Linked DNA regions of Caenorhabditis elegans. The protein of the gene in region 1 purifies or fractionates together with the protein of each later gene. This does not show direct contact. Each region holds a gene or a part of one and is shown in the gene's direction. Other genes may lie near its edges.

Evidence for each region. Proteins that work in one complex are often made in the same cells at the same time.
Region 2: the proteins of sup-12 (region 1) and fox-1 purify together in Caenorhabditis elegans (affinity purification with western blotting, with the first as the bait; one study listed by BioGRID). This does not show direct contact.

The regions. Positions count from the first base shown.
Region 1 is NC_003284.9:3,901,631-3,909,581, forward strand, and holds sup-12 (RRM domain-containing protein), read left to right. Parts: upstream 1-2,960; 5' UTR 2,961-3,008; coding exon 3,009-3,090; intron 3,091-3,283; coding exon 3,284-3,441; intron 3,442-3,860; coding exon 3,861-3,990; intron 3,991-4,178; coding exon 4,179-4,248; intron 4,249-4,508; coding exon of another isoform or gene 4,509-4,524; exon of another isoform or gene 4,525-4,554; intron 4,555-5,183; coding exon 5,184-5,344; intron 5,345-5,415; coding exon 5,416-5,561; 3' UTR 5,562-6,041; downstream 6,042-7,951. Other genes in the region: T22B2.5 (Neur_chan_memb domain-containing protein), read right to left, coding at 6,514-6,547.
Region 2 is NC_003284.9:2,451,218-2,458,624, reverse strand, and holds the start of fox-1 (Sex determination protein fox-1), read left to right. Parts: upstream 1-2,675; coding exon 2,676-2,756; intron 2,757-7,407. UniProt on the Caenorhabditis elegans protein: RNA-binding protein that regulates tissue-specific alternative splicing events by binding to 5'-UGCAUG-3' and 5'-GCACG-3' elements. Also binds to poly(A), poly(G), poly(C), or poly(U) stretches of RNA.

The DNA.
Region 1 (7,951 bases):
TGAGGTTGGAGTATTTTGAAAAGAAGAGGTTAAATGAAATAAAGGCGAGCTAGTTGAGAAATGTTTAGAAGTGAAACAATGTATTTCCAATTTGTTTAGAACTTCTTGTGCATTCGGGAAGTAAATGACTTTTTTCTATTCTCAACCATTATGAAATTTTTCCACCATCACAAGTTTCTCCTGACATTTTCTTTCGTTTCTTGTTTTCAGTTATTAGAAAACGTTCCTCATCACCAATGTATGCCTCTCCTAATCTATGCATTAGACTACTGTTTCGTGGAATGATAATCTTAGGCTGCTGCTGGTACCAGCAGTTAACACAGCAGCCCTATGAATCCTTTATGCCACTCCATCGCCTCACGATTCTTACGACATTTGTTCTGCGCAGGCATCTGGTGCGTCTGCTTGCCAGAGGACCACCAGAGTGGCTTACAGGAGCTCAACATGTATATTTATTGCACTGGTAGAGATGTCAACTGTTTACAAGTCTCAAAATGTTTCTGCCCTAACCCTCCCCGGGCCCCCCCCCCCCCCCTCCCTCACTCATTCTGTCACTTTCTCCTGGTGTTTCGAAGAAAGGAAGATGAAATAAATGAGACGATTGCCGAAAACACGCGTAATCATAATTGACTTTTTATTTATTTCTTTTGCGACCACATCAGCAGGTTTGGCATCTGCCGCCGTTATCAAAGGCATGCCCTAAGACATCATCAGTGCGCACGTCGTCGGTGATGGAAAAATGCATGTTTTTCGCGCCGCGTGAAGCAATTCAGTAGATTGTTCCCGATCCAGGCCGTAGGCCTCGAGCCGGGGAAAGTTTCATGTTTCGTTCGTTCTTCAACGGCTCGCGCTCGCACTTTTTCGTTGGCTCTTGGCCTATTTGTTTTCGGGGCGATGAACCAACCGCCTTTAAGACCAGTTTTCTTTTCACTCGAAATATATTTTTGCTACCTCCTTCTTCTTCTACTCCTGCTGGCGCTCATCCGGCAAAAAAACTCAGCTGACTGCTCTTGATGCACCTGAGCTTGTTTATTTTCTCTCTTTAATTTTGAATCATTCAAGATGATGCTAGCTAGTATGTAAATTGTTAAAAGCTCATCAAATAGTGTCAAAAATTTTTTATTTGTTGAAATTTTGTTATTTTGTTTTGAAAAGTAGTTACTACTCAGTTTTTGCCACTTTTTTGGAAGTCATCGATTGAAACATGTTCCTTACAGTTTGATGGTCTCCATCAGTTTTAATTATTAATATTCACACATTGTACGGATTTGAACATGCGACAGTGCTATAGTTTTCTCAAAAAGTTGCAAAAACTCGATGGTATCCCCTTTTTCCCCACTATTTGTAAAGCTTCTTCACCTTTAGTAAAAAATTTGGTTCTGGTATTTGGTATTCAGAGCCCTTCCAGTTTTAGTTCTACCCCCCCCCCCCCCCCCTCTAATCAATCATTTTGTAACAAACAGTTTCATTCAGTCATGTGTCTTCGAAGTTTTGCGGACGGACATAAATAACATAAAAAAGTGAAATTTCCTCTCTGCATGGTTTATACGGTCTCTGTGCTTACTATCGAAGATAAACTGATATGATGAGAAACACCACCACGTCCGGGTTTCAAATCTTCAACACTTTCCCATATTTTCAATGCACATGGCACTTCACATAAGAATCCTTAAAGTTTTTCCATGTAAATGTGACGAACCGCCATATTCAGAGTGCTCTGCGTCGTTCAACAACAGCTTTCCAAGTCCTCCAATTGTTTAATCAGGCGGTGAGGACGAGGGGCGGTAAAGACTCCCATACTCGAAACGCACAGATTTGAAGCAATTGTATTCCCGAAAAACAAGACTAGCCCCCGGGAGGAGGAGAGCATCAGTTTGTTTCTTTTGCCTCCCACTGTTTTCGCTGCCTTTCTCGGATTGTCCAAACATGCGAACGTCTTAGTCCGAGCACATTGAGCGAACGGTATTTTTTTCTTTTTTTGTAGCATCGCAACAAATTGGGCTCTCTTTGCTATTTTTGGGCACAAACAAATGGTTGTTTCATTTTTGAATCGCCGCCAAATTCAAAATCCTCTGTACATTCCTCTCAGCTAAAATTTCACACAGAAAAAGAAAAACAAAAAATTATACTGCAGTTCGTAATTGTTTTCCAAATAACATCTTACAGTATAAGTATTATTCTGTATTTCCCACCACCACATCATGAATGCAATGTGATCAGAGATGGATTATTTCTTCATTCTGTCTCTATTCTTTTCTTCTTGGAGCAACTTCTCCTTGTCGCATCCTTTGATTGAGCCTTCTTTCTTCTTATTCTTCTCCTCCTTCTTCTTTTACTTCATCCCAACATCCACCCACTCGTTGTCAGTTGAGCTCTGTTGTTATTTCGCGTTTTATTTCTCTTCATCGATTTCAATCTTTTTTTTCTGGATCAGCATGACATAAATCGATACTCCAGAGGTGGTGTTATTTGCGCAACGGCTCATTGTGGTGAAATATTATGGCAAAAATTGACCGGGGGGAAGAGTGTTGGAAAGAAAGAGTCAATTTTTGCGACGACAGGCGGGCGGTGGTTGGCTTCTGTTTGGAGAGCAGCAAAACTTTGACAGGCTCACCCACCACCGGAGACAGACCTACGGATTTTGTGCGCGCGCGAGCTTTTCGTCGGCTCGTTCTTATCCATTTCTATTTTATCTCTCTCTCGCGATTTGTCGCCTTTCGTTTAGTTTTCACTATCTCTACCTATGTGGTCTCTGAGGTAAGTAAGGTCTCTGATAACTCATTGATCATGACGAGTGATAGATAATAGCAGTGTAAAGTTTTCAGTTTCATGTTGGCTCTAGCTCATTTCCTATTGATTCACACCTTCGATGTTGTATATGTTTTTTTAAATTATCGTTTATAAACTTCTCATATTTCTATGTATATATATACAAAACTTCAAACAAAAACATTTTGCAGGTCAATTTCACGGTATTTAAGCTAGGCCCTATATAAATCAAGTAAAAAATGTACGGCCAAGTCCAAGATCCACTGGTGCATGCTGCTGCCGCTGCTTTGGCACAATCAACCAACGCCGAACCAGTAGTTGGTGAGTTTCCTGTGATCCCCATCGAATTGTCACATGATGATGGTTTAGAGAGGGAAAAAGATAGGGAAAAATGACAGTGGTATGCAACTTTTGTGTGTAACCTCACATATGGTTCCACTTAAAAGAAGACTTGCGATAGGAATAGAAACTGGAAATATTTCAAATTTTTTAGTTCATCTCCATTCATTTTCAGGTTCCCGTGATACCATGTTCACCAAAATCTTTGTCGGTGGTCTGCCATACCATACAAGTGACAAGACGCTTCACGAGTATTTTGAGCAGTTTGGAGATATTGAAGAGGCTGTAGTCATCACTGATCGTAACACACAAAAAAGCAGAGGATATGGATTTGTAAGTCACTGGAATGTCAAAAATTTCTAGTTTGCGATATTTTTTCACGAGATCTTACGTTGGAGGTCAATTGAAACGAAACGGTTTCTAATCATCAATCACTTTTGACATGATTAACCATTTTTTATCTTGTCCGTCCAGATAAAAGAGGAAACAATTTCGTTTGATTTAACTTCACTAAATTGGAAAATAATTCGGGAACAAGGTGGATGAAGAAATCTTCAAATTTCCGAAATCTCGCGGTTCTGCTTTGACCTCTCAAGCGGCTCTTCATAGGAATCGCACGCGTATTTTGTTAGCAAACATTTCCCAACCATATATATCTCAACAAATAGTTGCAACAGCAAAGATGGAAAGATTACTCTTCGCAAAAAAACATGATCTTTACATATGTTTGTTAATGAAACATAACTTTTCAGGTAACAATGAAGGACCGTGCTTCTGCAGAAAGAGCTTGTAAAGATCCAAATCCAATCATTGATGGAAGGAAGGCTAATGTCAACTTGGCATACCTCGGAGCTAAACCAAGAACAAATGTGCAACTTGCTGGTAAGTTTCGAATTTTTGTGCGGCTCTTGAGCAGCTCTCAGATCATTTTATTCTCCCCGTGTGTTTTGGCTTCTGCTAAACATTATCAATCCTCCACAACCTTCATAACCAAAGGATATTGTTTGTGTCGCGCATCTCTATTCAGTTTTTGTCTGTGTTAACCAAAATCACCAAGTTGGTCATTTTAGCGCTGGCCGCTGGACAAGTTCAACTTCCACTCACCACTCAACTTCAGGCTTTGTTTCAACCAAGAATGGGGTAAGTTTCGGTGATTTGCCTGTGTGTGACATACTTCCAACAATTCCTATCTCATCCAAAAATCACCGCTAATTGAGTTGTGTTGATACAGAAAAAAGAAACAACACGACAACAACAGCAATGACAAAACACTGTAGAACTTTGTGCTCTAGCTCAAAAGTTGCCTAGGATACTTGAGAAGTACTCTTGTGTTCAACCATCTTCACACGTTTAATAATAACTTAAATAATATTAATGATTGTAAACCAAAATATTTTAAGACAAGTGGCCGGTTGAATCGAAATCCGTGGATGCCTAAAACTAAAGGTTAGGCGTGCTTTGACGTGTGCCAATATCATTACTTTCATTTTCCAAACCAAAAGCGGAATACAATAGTGCTGTGTTTTTGACGTGTCCATACTCTCTTTCTCTTCATTTTCACCTATTTCCCAAACCTATATGATTTCGAGTTTTTCTCTTTTCCCTTGGTGAAAACTTGCATAGTCCTGAATGAACTGAGCACCCCAAAGTTGTTTTCTTCATTGGTGGGATTGATGATTATTTCTTTGTAGGTCAATGGGTTTGGCTGCCTAACTAAAACCATCACGCATTTTCTAAACTTTGCTATAGTTTGGTTACGTCTTTTCTGATACTTTTTTTTTTGGAATTTTGAAGTTGTCAATGATTTTACTTTTCATTCTATCCAAATATGTTAGATATTTCTTTTGCACTAACTCAAAAAAACTGAACTGAAAAAATGTGGAGTTTCTTAATATTGTTAAAACAAAAACAAAAATAATTATACTTTCCAGAACCAAAAAAAGTGAATTTTTATCACGCATGTGCGTGTTTTTTGGGTGATATTGTGATAAACACTGTTGCCTCATTTCCAGCATTTGGCATTTACATCCTCCTGTCAATTCCGTGTTCGGTAATTAATCAATACTTTTTTTTAGACTTCCTCAAATGTATTATCCGACTGTCACAGGACTGGTCAATCCGTTGATGGCACAACAAGGAGCCGCTGCTCAGCAACAATTGTTCGATTATAATGCTCTGGCCGCAGTAATGAACCCACAAGCTGCCGCCGCTTATGGTATTCAGTCCCAAGGAAAATGTATGTTCGACGATAGGAAGTTAAAATTAAATAAAAATTTTTTTTTTTCAAATTTAATAAAACATTTTCAGTCGCAGCCGCCCCTACAACAATTGAGCAATACGCCGCCTATCCAGCAGGATACGGCCTAGTTCCCCAATCTGCCTACAATATTGGAAACCCACAGTTGCAACAATTAGCTGCCGCACAACAACAGCTTGAGCATCAACGTGTCTAGAATCCTAATAATATTCTTCAATTTGTCATTCACTCATTCATAAAACCGATTGTCATTGTCGTCCCAGCAATAATTCGCCAACTGATTTTGCCAATAGAGAACATAGGTATTTGCCCGAGTTATACTGATAATTTTACAACTTTGTCCTACCCAAATATCAGATTCTTACGCAAATCAAACAGTTCTATCTAGTCTTCCAATTTCAACTTTATTCCCATATACTTTACAATTTTAGTCACAGTTCTTTTTGATTTTGTCAATTTTTTTCTTATTCATTTCAAATTACAAATCTCTGATGTGGGTTTCTACACGTTCGATGTTTTTTCTTCTCAATTTTTTCCCGAAACGCCAGAGTTGCCTGATTTTAATGTGCCATTTGCACATCCTCATTGAATTTGCAAATTAATTTCATATGGTGAGTTCGTAATAGTCGTACATGTTCCTGCATTTAATGTTTACAATAAACCGATTTCAAAACCTAATCACGTGTGATGCAGAAACTGGAAGTAGTTGTAATGAACGGGGGTTTAAACAGAAGGCAGATGGATACAACAGGAACTAGTTGCAGCATTAGGTCATCTTGGCAAACAGTAAGAAATAATGCAATACTATATTGTAGTTTCGTAGATCGAATTTAAAACAAAAAATACAGTACTAGGCAGAATGATACTTTTAGAATGAATGATAATTTTTTGACGAATTTTTTCCATCCAAAAAAATAGGGAAAAGAACCTGTGAAAGAAGAAAAAACTGGCTCTGAAAATATAATATCCTGACTGATTGAAGTTGTCGATCCTGTAAATTCTAAAACTGATAGTAGTGGTAGTAGATGACATTGAACACTTCCGAATGACATTTCAGGCTGAAAATTAAAAAAAATTGAAATGCCTTGAGAAACCATCTACAAATAGTAAATAGTAGAATAACTAACCGAAATGAGGGTAGAGAATAATTATTTTAAGCTGCTCGAGACATTTTGGCCACCACTGAAAACAAAACGTTATAAAATTAAACTACCGTTCCAAATATCCCATCTCTCAATTTTAAAACCCTTTTTAAAGCACGATAGAATGATTAAATTTTTAAAATATTCTGAAACTTTTTCGAATGAAGTTCAAAGACTAGAAAGTCTAACAATATTTAAAATTGAGTATGGTGAGGGGATTTTGTTTATAAATCTTCGCATTCTTAGATATCTAATTAGAAATTTAAAACAAATGAGGAGATAATAATACAGGGTGGCCTATAATTATGCGGACCGAGTTGCTCTCACAAAAATATGTTTTTTTCTCGCCTGACAAATTTTAAATTTTTGTTTTATTTGTTCATTGATAGCTGACATGTTTTCCTATTAGCTAACTTTAAAAAAATGTGATTTGTTAAACTACGCAATCTAGGCAGAGTCGTCAAACTAGCATCATCTCCCACACTGACGACTCTTTGACACGCATCGATTTTTGAGTGTGGAAATTTCGAAACCGATCTTTTCTACAGTAATGTATACATTTTGGAAGCGAAAAATATATTTTAATAAATGTTGAAGTATATGGAATTGGTTCCATGAAATTCCAGCTCCTGTTGGGTGATTGTTTGACAGTAACTACAGCCGATTTTACAAGGAGTTCAATAGCTAGTGACAGTTTTTGGTATATATCAGCCATAAAATGAGATAAGCACATAATTGTTGCCACAAGGAAAGAAAAATATTAGTAGAATCATATGGCTATTTATCAAAACATTCACTTTTTACATAACTGATGTGCCAAGTGGAACGTCGGCTTTCTGATGTTCTTGATTTGTCTCCCTTCAATCAATGACCACATCAATGTCAGATGAAAACATTTATGAATTTTATTGCAAAACGGATTCTCAGAAAAAAGTCAATCCAAATATGATTGCTAAAGTGATGATATTTGCAATAGAACCTAGAAATGACAACAAAAAGGAGAACACCAATGAGTTGCGTGCCAACGTCAAAATTTTTTAGGAATGTCAGCAGGCCTGTAGAATTTCACAAGCGGAAAATTTGAAAGTTTGACAACAAATTTTGTTCCTTAGAAAATTTGAAATAAAATATGTGTTGTTATCATATTTTTGAATGTTCCAATCAGATTTTATGAGTACGACTTGCGGTCCGCATAGTTATGGGCCACCCTGTATTAACTGAATCTTGTACGATGTTGGTTTGACGGGACCCAAGTGTGGTTGACAGCTCACGGGTGATTTGGAAAGGATCCGTTGCCATGGCTTTCTGCAACGTGTCCAAATCCAATTTATGGGGTCTCAGAGTCTTCGAGAGAAAAGTCGTCCTTCTCGAAGCTTTGGAACCAATTGCGTATGATATTATAGTAGGGGACATGTGAATCATAAACATTCTTGAGGAGACTTTC
Region 2 (7,407 bases), 1.4 Mb from region 1:
ATAGTTTTATGAAGAGCAATCCATATTCATAAGATTGGATTTGTAATCTGATGCCATTACTATCAAGAATATACCTAACGAGCTTCAGCGGTTTGTTCTGTAAGAATATGGAAGCACATTTACTTAGGCATTTCTCATAAATGCGAGCCATTCCATTCCGAAAGAAAAACGGAAGAAAAATTTTAATGTGACATTCAAAACGGATCTCATTTCCATTTCGGAGCTTTGACTCCTCTTGTGGGTGAGCAAAATTGGAATTCAAAATTTCCAATTTAAAACACGGAGAAGGCAGAGCTGGAGAATGTTGGAAACTAAGCCTACATTCCTCCAGGAGTACCACCACGTTTAGTACGCCTGATTTGATACGGGCATATGAGCACGCGAGCAAAGACCGTGAATTCATTTCGATTCACGTGGACCTCTTGGATTAACCAGTGTGCCGAACCAGCACCCTCCTCAAGCCCCTATTCGATTACACTTCTCTCTTTTCCACCACCAGTCTTATTTATTTCAAATCAAAGCACTACTCGTTTTCTTCTTTTTCTTCTGCTACTTGGCTCCTCCTTCCTCACCCATCGTTAGCGGTACACAAGTTTATAGTTTATAGTTTATTTAAGCACATTTAGTCATATAATTCATAATGTTTTTCTAGTACTGTTCATATAAAAGTTTGCCAGTGATTTATCAGAAAGAGCCTCAGAAAGAAAAAAAGATTTGAATCTTAATGAATCGGAAAGTTGAAAGCACAAATACACTGAGATGGGGCAAGAATTCATTATACTTTCCGTGTTTTGTTATTTACTGAAATGCTCCCAATTTTCCCTAGATATTGCGTTTCTCCGTCTTGAAATCCGAATACCTCCTTCTCCTCCTCCTCCTCACTTGATTCCGTGTAGGACTTGTGAGGCTCGCTGGCAAAACTCCGGAAATCAAACAAGAATCGCGTTTCTTTTGCTCCTCTCTCTCTTCGTCCTTTTTTGTTCACAAAATCTAATTTGAAGAGGCGATTAAAGGTGTTGAATTGAAAAGGAACGACGTCATCTTGCTTAATCTGGCGGTCAAATCATTTTTTTAATCTAAGTTTTGTTTTCGGTAAGCTTTGGTTTTTTCAACAAATTTCCGGATTTTGTGTGGGCGGTTCGGGAACTTTTGAATGTATTAACCTAAAATATGCCCGAATGAACATGATGAATCTTCTCAAAAAAATTTTTCAAAATTTTTATAACACGGTTCAAAATTTCGAAAAAATTTGGCTCGAATTAAGTTAAAATCGCAAGTTTTCAACACTGTTTTGCGCCCAAAAAAGCGCCAAAATTGAAAATTATGGGTGAAATTAGACCTTCTTTCTATCGAAATTTTGAACCTTTATGAAAAATTTATGAAAATTTTTTGAGCAATCTCATTACCAAAATCGTTCTTTTGAGCGAATTTCGAGCTTATACGTTCCAAATTTCCCTAACAGTTAGTCCACTTGTAAGGAATTTTCGATATTGCTGAAAACTCTAATAGCGAAATAATAGCGGTAGTATGTATTGTCATATTTTTCAAAATTTTTAGTTCAAAGTTTTCCACAAAAAAAGTTTGCCTCTTGAGAAATTTCTAACATTTCTGCAAGTTTGAACTTCTGTGATGCTAAATTTCAAACAATTACTGCATAATCGGAATTTCAAAAATCCAAAATTTTTTTTAGGATTTTCAAAGTTATTATAGGGAAAAACTGATCTTGTTTTACTATAAATTTTGCATCTTTGAATGATTTTAAACAATTTCACCACTGGCTAGACATTTTAGCCTATTTCGAATTCCCAAGCTGCAATCTGAAAACCTTTTTTTTTCGAAGTGATCTGCGTTGTGACGGTTTGCAATATTTTCTTGTAATTCCTATTTTCAGGATTCGAGTTTTTTTCCCTACAAGACATATACTTCCCGTATGTTAATATTACCACCACTCCCAGAATAGCTAATATGATTAGTAGGTAGTGCTTTTAGCGCACATCTGTAAAGATGGTGAGAGCGTAGGGACGAAGACGACATTGGGACAGCGGCCACGCCCATTTCCTCTCAATTAATAAGACGTGCCTCTGAGCACACTTTTGCGCCATCCTTTCCCGTGCTCTTAACGCTCAGAAGTCAGTAGTGACCCTACTAACAACTCATTGAGAAAGAAGACGACGACAACCCGTGGGGGCAAAGTGGTCACACAAGTAAGAAACCGCGCCCCGTTTTCGTGTCTGTCGTGTGTCCCGCTATCCGTCCGGCGGGTCTAGTCCGTCTTTCCTGCTCCTTATTTGTGACGAATTGTCAGAAGGAAGAAAACGGAGAAGAAACAGCAGCAACAGCAGAAGAAGCAACTAGAAGCAAAAGCAGAAGCCGACAAAGAAGAAGAAGAAGCCTAAGGCCGTGTGAGCTGCCCCTCCGAGTTGTGTTGCGTGATTCGCCACTTCTTTGGATGAGGCCAATTGTGGTGTGACATACAGACACACATCGCATAAATACTGCCCCCCCCCCCCTTTTTTTTCAACCATTCCGTTTCCGACACGACGACTGACTCTTCAGTCAGTCATTCCTAGCCGTCCACGCTCGCCACCACTTCCCCGTCGCCCTGTTTTCCACAAAATTATTTTTCTAGTCTTTCCTTCTACTACTCTGGATACTGTAGCGCCTCTTGCTGAAACATGGCTGAACTAATCGAAGAGGTGAGCACTGCTACTCACGCTTCTCTCAATGCATGTGACCCGATTGTAGTGAATTCTGAGGTATGTTTTTTAATACTAATTTTTGTCTTGAAATTGGTCATGACTGAACGTTTCGAAAAGTTGGAAAAAACCATTGGGGCCTAAGGGTGCGCGGCAATTGCCGACCGGCAATTCTACAAAATATGACAGTTGGGCATGAGCTTTTGCATTTAAATTTAAGGATGTAATCTGGGAATAAGTATGAGTTCACTTGAAGCAACCGAAAAAACACACAAAAATCGACACATTTTCCGGAAATTTTCAGCAGAAATTTTCAATATTCAGACGATTTTTGAAAAATTCTCCACAGATATTTTCAAAAAAAAAAAAACCAAATATTTTTCTATATTATATCATCAAATTTTAATGAAAAATGTCGAGCCAACTGTCTCATTTCGTAGAATTTATTGCCGTGAACTTCTAATTGAGACTTTTTTTGCAAATCTAACTTCAACTTCAGTTTGTTGGTCGGAATGTGCACTTTTTAAGTGAGTTAGCTGCGTGTGAACCGAAAGACTATTCTAATCCAGTTTGCTTCCTTTTTTCCTCTTATTTTGTTTTGGGCTCTTCTTCAGTAAAGGCTCCATAGCATAGCTTTTTTTAATTTCGCAATTCTTCTCGTTTTGCCCATTTTGTCTTGCCAAAACAATAATGCGACTTTCCGACACAAAATTGTGTGAGAAATCTCGTCATTTTACCGCATCTCGACCTTCTCCTAAATGTTTTCGCAGCTGCTTGTGAGCCATCAAGAAAGGCAGAAGCTGGCAAACGGGAAGAGACGAAGGCTCACCCTTACTCAACGATAATTAGATGAGTACATGGATGTGAGATGGCTTCTTCCTTTTATTTGTGCTAGAAAGAAGACCGAAACATTGAAACACTCGCGCAGCACCGAACATTCAGGATTGCGAGCGGATATGTGCTGTGCGAATTGAAATAAGCGGAAAGTAGTGCAGTAATGAGAAATAGTGACCTCAACTACCTCAACTAGTCAACCATAGAAACGAGAATATCACGCAATTTACGCGGCAATTATACTACTGGATAGTTGAGGGGAGATGTCAAAAGGGGCATGACAACCAAAGTCAGCGTCAACTAGTGTTTTCGTTTCGACAGTTTCTATCTGTTTTGTGTGAATCGCGGAAAACTTTCCAACATGGAGTCTAAATTGATTTGTTATACCAAATTTGCGTACTGTTGATGGAAATTCGGAGAACTGGTTGTGTTTTTCAATATTTCCCGGTAGTCAAGTTTTGAAGTTTTTTAATTGAACATATATCATTGTGCCAAGTTTGGCAGATTTGTTCGGCAAATATTAGTATTTTCGGCACTCATTAAACATTTTGTCCAAAAATAAAAGTTTTGATCAGATATTTTATGAAAAAAAAAACATAGCATAGTGTTTTTATATGTTTTATTTAAAAAAAAATCGACACGTGCATTAGGCACACAATAAACGAAAATTATTTGTTTTCCATTAATTTTGACACTTTTTGAGCTCAAAAAAACATTTCAATTTACCGAGTTTGAGAACCACGGAAAAGGTGCCTAATTTGCCGAATTTCTCGAGTTCGGCAAATATTCAAACAAAAAAAATTTGCCGAACTTGTCGAGCTCGGCAAATCTCAAAGTTTGCCGCACACATTTGACACAATCCCTGAATGTGTTTCAAATTTTGTAAGGATATTTCTCAAAAATACAAAGTCTGTGACACAGAAAAGTGACCAAAATCGGGAAGTTTAGCTAAAATTGGGTTATTTTTTTTCGAAAATTTGCACCGCCTACATTTTAGAAAAAAAATTGAGCAGTTTCATAACATGTACGTTTAAAATGCCACGAGCTTGCGATTTTGCTTATATCTATCCCATTATGAAATTTATCGATGTTTTGTAAAGAAATTCGAAATATATATATAATGAAGCAGATTAAATCCAATCCCCTTTTCGTTCTGCCTCAACAATAGGTTATTCTCATATATTTCTATAATCAGAAGGAAAACAAATGGAGAATAATGTGGCACAGAGGAAAAAACAAGCAACCCAGGTTGACATCCAGCTTGGCTTGAATAATCTGGAACCTTTGGTCCCTCTATTGTTTCCTGCTCAATGTGTGTTTCTTTTTTTTCCTTGTTGTCGTTCAATGTACAAGGAATATTTACTTACGTTCATCATGTTTTGAGAACAAAATTGTTTTGCTTTGTTGTTTCTTTCTATCCAACCAAAACTTTTTGATTTTTTGGCCGCCATAGTTTTTGTATACAGTGTTGGCTAAAAAGGTACTCCTGATTGCAACTCTGAAACTGGAAAAATTTATTGCTCGTCACTATGTTTTTTTTTGTTTTTAAAGCGGCCGACATCTCGTAAGCCATTTCAACTCTTATATCTTATTTTTCTGACTGATTAAACAAAACGAAAAGTATTGTAAAGATAAATTTACTATCACAAACTTTCCATTAAAAATGTGGGTTTTGAGTTATCATCAAAAATGGATTCACGAAATGTCGGCGGCTTTATTTTTCGCCATGATTTTTGTGTAAAACTCAAACACCTAAAACAAGTAAACATAGTCATGGGAAATATTTTGATCATTTTTCAACAACTTTTATAGTTTCCGAGTTTTACTACTGTGAAAATTCAGCAGAACTACCAAACAACTATTTTTGGCCAGCACTATGAGTTGCAATATGATGACAGAAATTGTATACAGTTTTGATATTAGATACTTTATTATTATTATTATTCACAACATCCAAACCTGGTGCCCTTATCGACCCGTCTGCCACTAATAATTCCCAAGTCCCCCAGCGTTCTACATCCACTGCTCGCTATATTGCGTGCACACAGTCTCTCTCGTCTTCTGAAATAGACGAGCCATTGTCGTCTTCCTATTCGCCCTCTTGGGGGATGACCTGTTCGGTCATGCAGCAGATCGCGTCTCCCCTCATCTCTGTGTGTTGTTTCCAATTGCGCTCTCATCGTTCATCGATTTGGTGCAAAGACATCTGTGCATTGCGCGATACGTACCACATGTTCTCATCCACGCTGTTCACTTGCATATATCTACATCTATTTTTTTAATAGTTCCCTCTTCGTTTCACATTCCCACTTTCCGCTTTTTGTCTAGATTTTTCTCTTATTTTTTATTTTCAAAATCTGGTTCCACTTTTGTCGTGCCATTCTTCACTAGCCACCCAACTGATTTCGCGCCGTTCGTTACCCATCTCTCATCTGGTCACCACCCGCTGCGTCGGTTTCATGTAAATGCGCTCAAAACATCATCGATGAAAATGAATTGGAAACAAAATAGCTTCTCACACCCTAAGTCACTATGTTTTCCAACAACTGTTCACTTTTGCTGTGAATTTCGAAGATGCGTCACCTGAGAGAAAGGGCAACTGCTTTTCAAATCGTGGTGTCGTTTTCTGTCTGGAGTTTTGATGAGTCCTATCAATAAGCTTCATGATTTATGACAGTAGAAACCTTTTCCGGCTCCGTTCCTGGTTCGATTTTCAGTGGCCCCGTGCTCTAGATTATTTTTAGATGGTTATCTACCTTACGTAGTTGCACAGTCCATTCCTCATTTCAATATCTCCTCTCTCAAATTAAAATTTCATAATTCTAATATGTTCGAGAAAATATTAAAGTTTTGTTGAAATATTAATACAATTTTTCCAGTTCACCTCCTTTGAACTTTTCCTACTGCATCACCAACCACCCCGCACCACTACGGCTACATTTTGTTCTCCCCAGATATTGACCGTCTAGTCAAAAAAAAGTGTTCTCAATTTTGAAAGTTATTGTTTTTTTTTCGAAAAAATTTTATTTTGTATTTCTTTTCCAGCATCAAAATCTGTAAGCCTTCCGATCCTACAGTTATCTCCCCCACTGTTTTTACGTTTCCTTCTCAGGGGCTATCGTCTCCCTATTTGACATCCCTGTCATCGAGTGTTTATATTAATAGAGGTGCAGCTAAAACAAAAAAAAAGGGGGGGGGGGCAACAAAAACCTAGTGACGCACAACTTGTAAAGGTCAGTTCGACTGTGTTGGGTAGTAAACTGTGCGCAGTAGTCTCTCTCTCTTGATCCATATGGTCGAAACGCAAACTCATCCCTCTTATCGACCGCCGCGAATGTCTCCGCAAGTTAAGGTGAGCCCATCAATTGAAATATAATTCAAATTTCCGATTTGCGTTAGGCTGAGCACATGAACATGACGTTATGAATTACTGCTGATTGAGTATGACAGATATAACTATTTCAAGGCAAAAATGCTTCTTTTTTTTAAGACTAAATTAAGAATAATCGATATTAATATTATCTTTCAAGGAGAAGTAACACTTTTAAACTGCTCAAATTGTGCTCAAAAAAACTAATTTCGTAAATTTTATGACTTGTCAATAATTGGAAAAAAATGGCCTAACTTAATTATTCGAACCAAGTTTTGAGAAAATCTGTATATCCACGAGTATAACGGCAAAAACAAAACAAAAAAAATCTCATTTCGTCTAACTCTACCGCCTCACCGCACCAGATATGTGCTCCTCTGCCTCTTTGTCAGTGTCGAGCCTTCCAACATAACGAACCTATCAAATTCAATCATCTATCTCCCCACATATTCTCGCGCGCTGCCTGAATTGCGCCATGGCAGCTGCTCCCCCAAAACATCGCCTCAG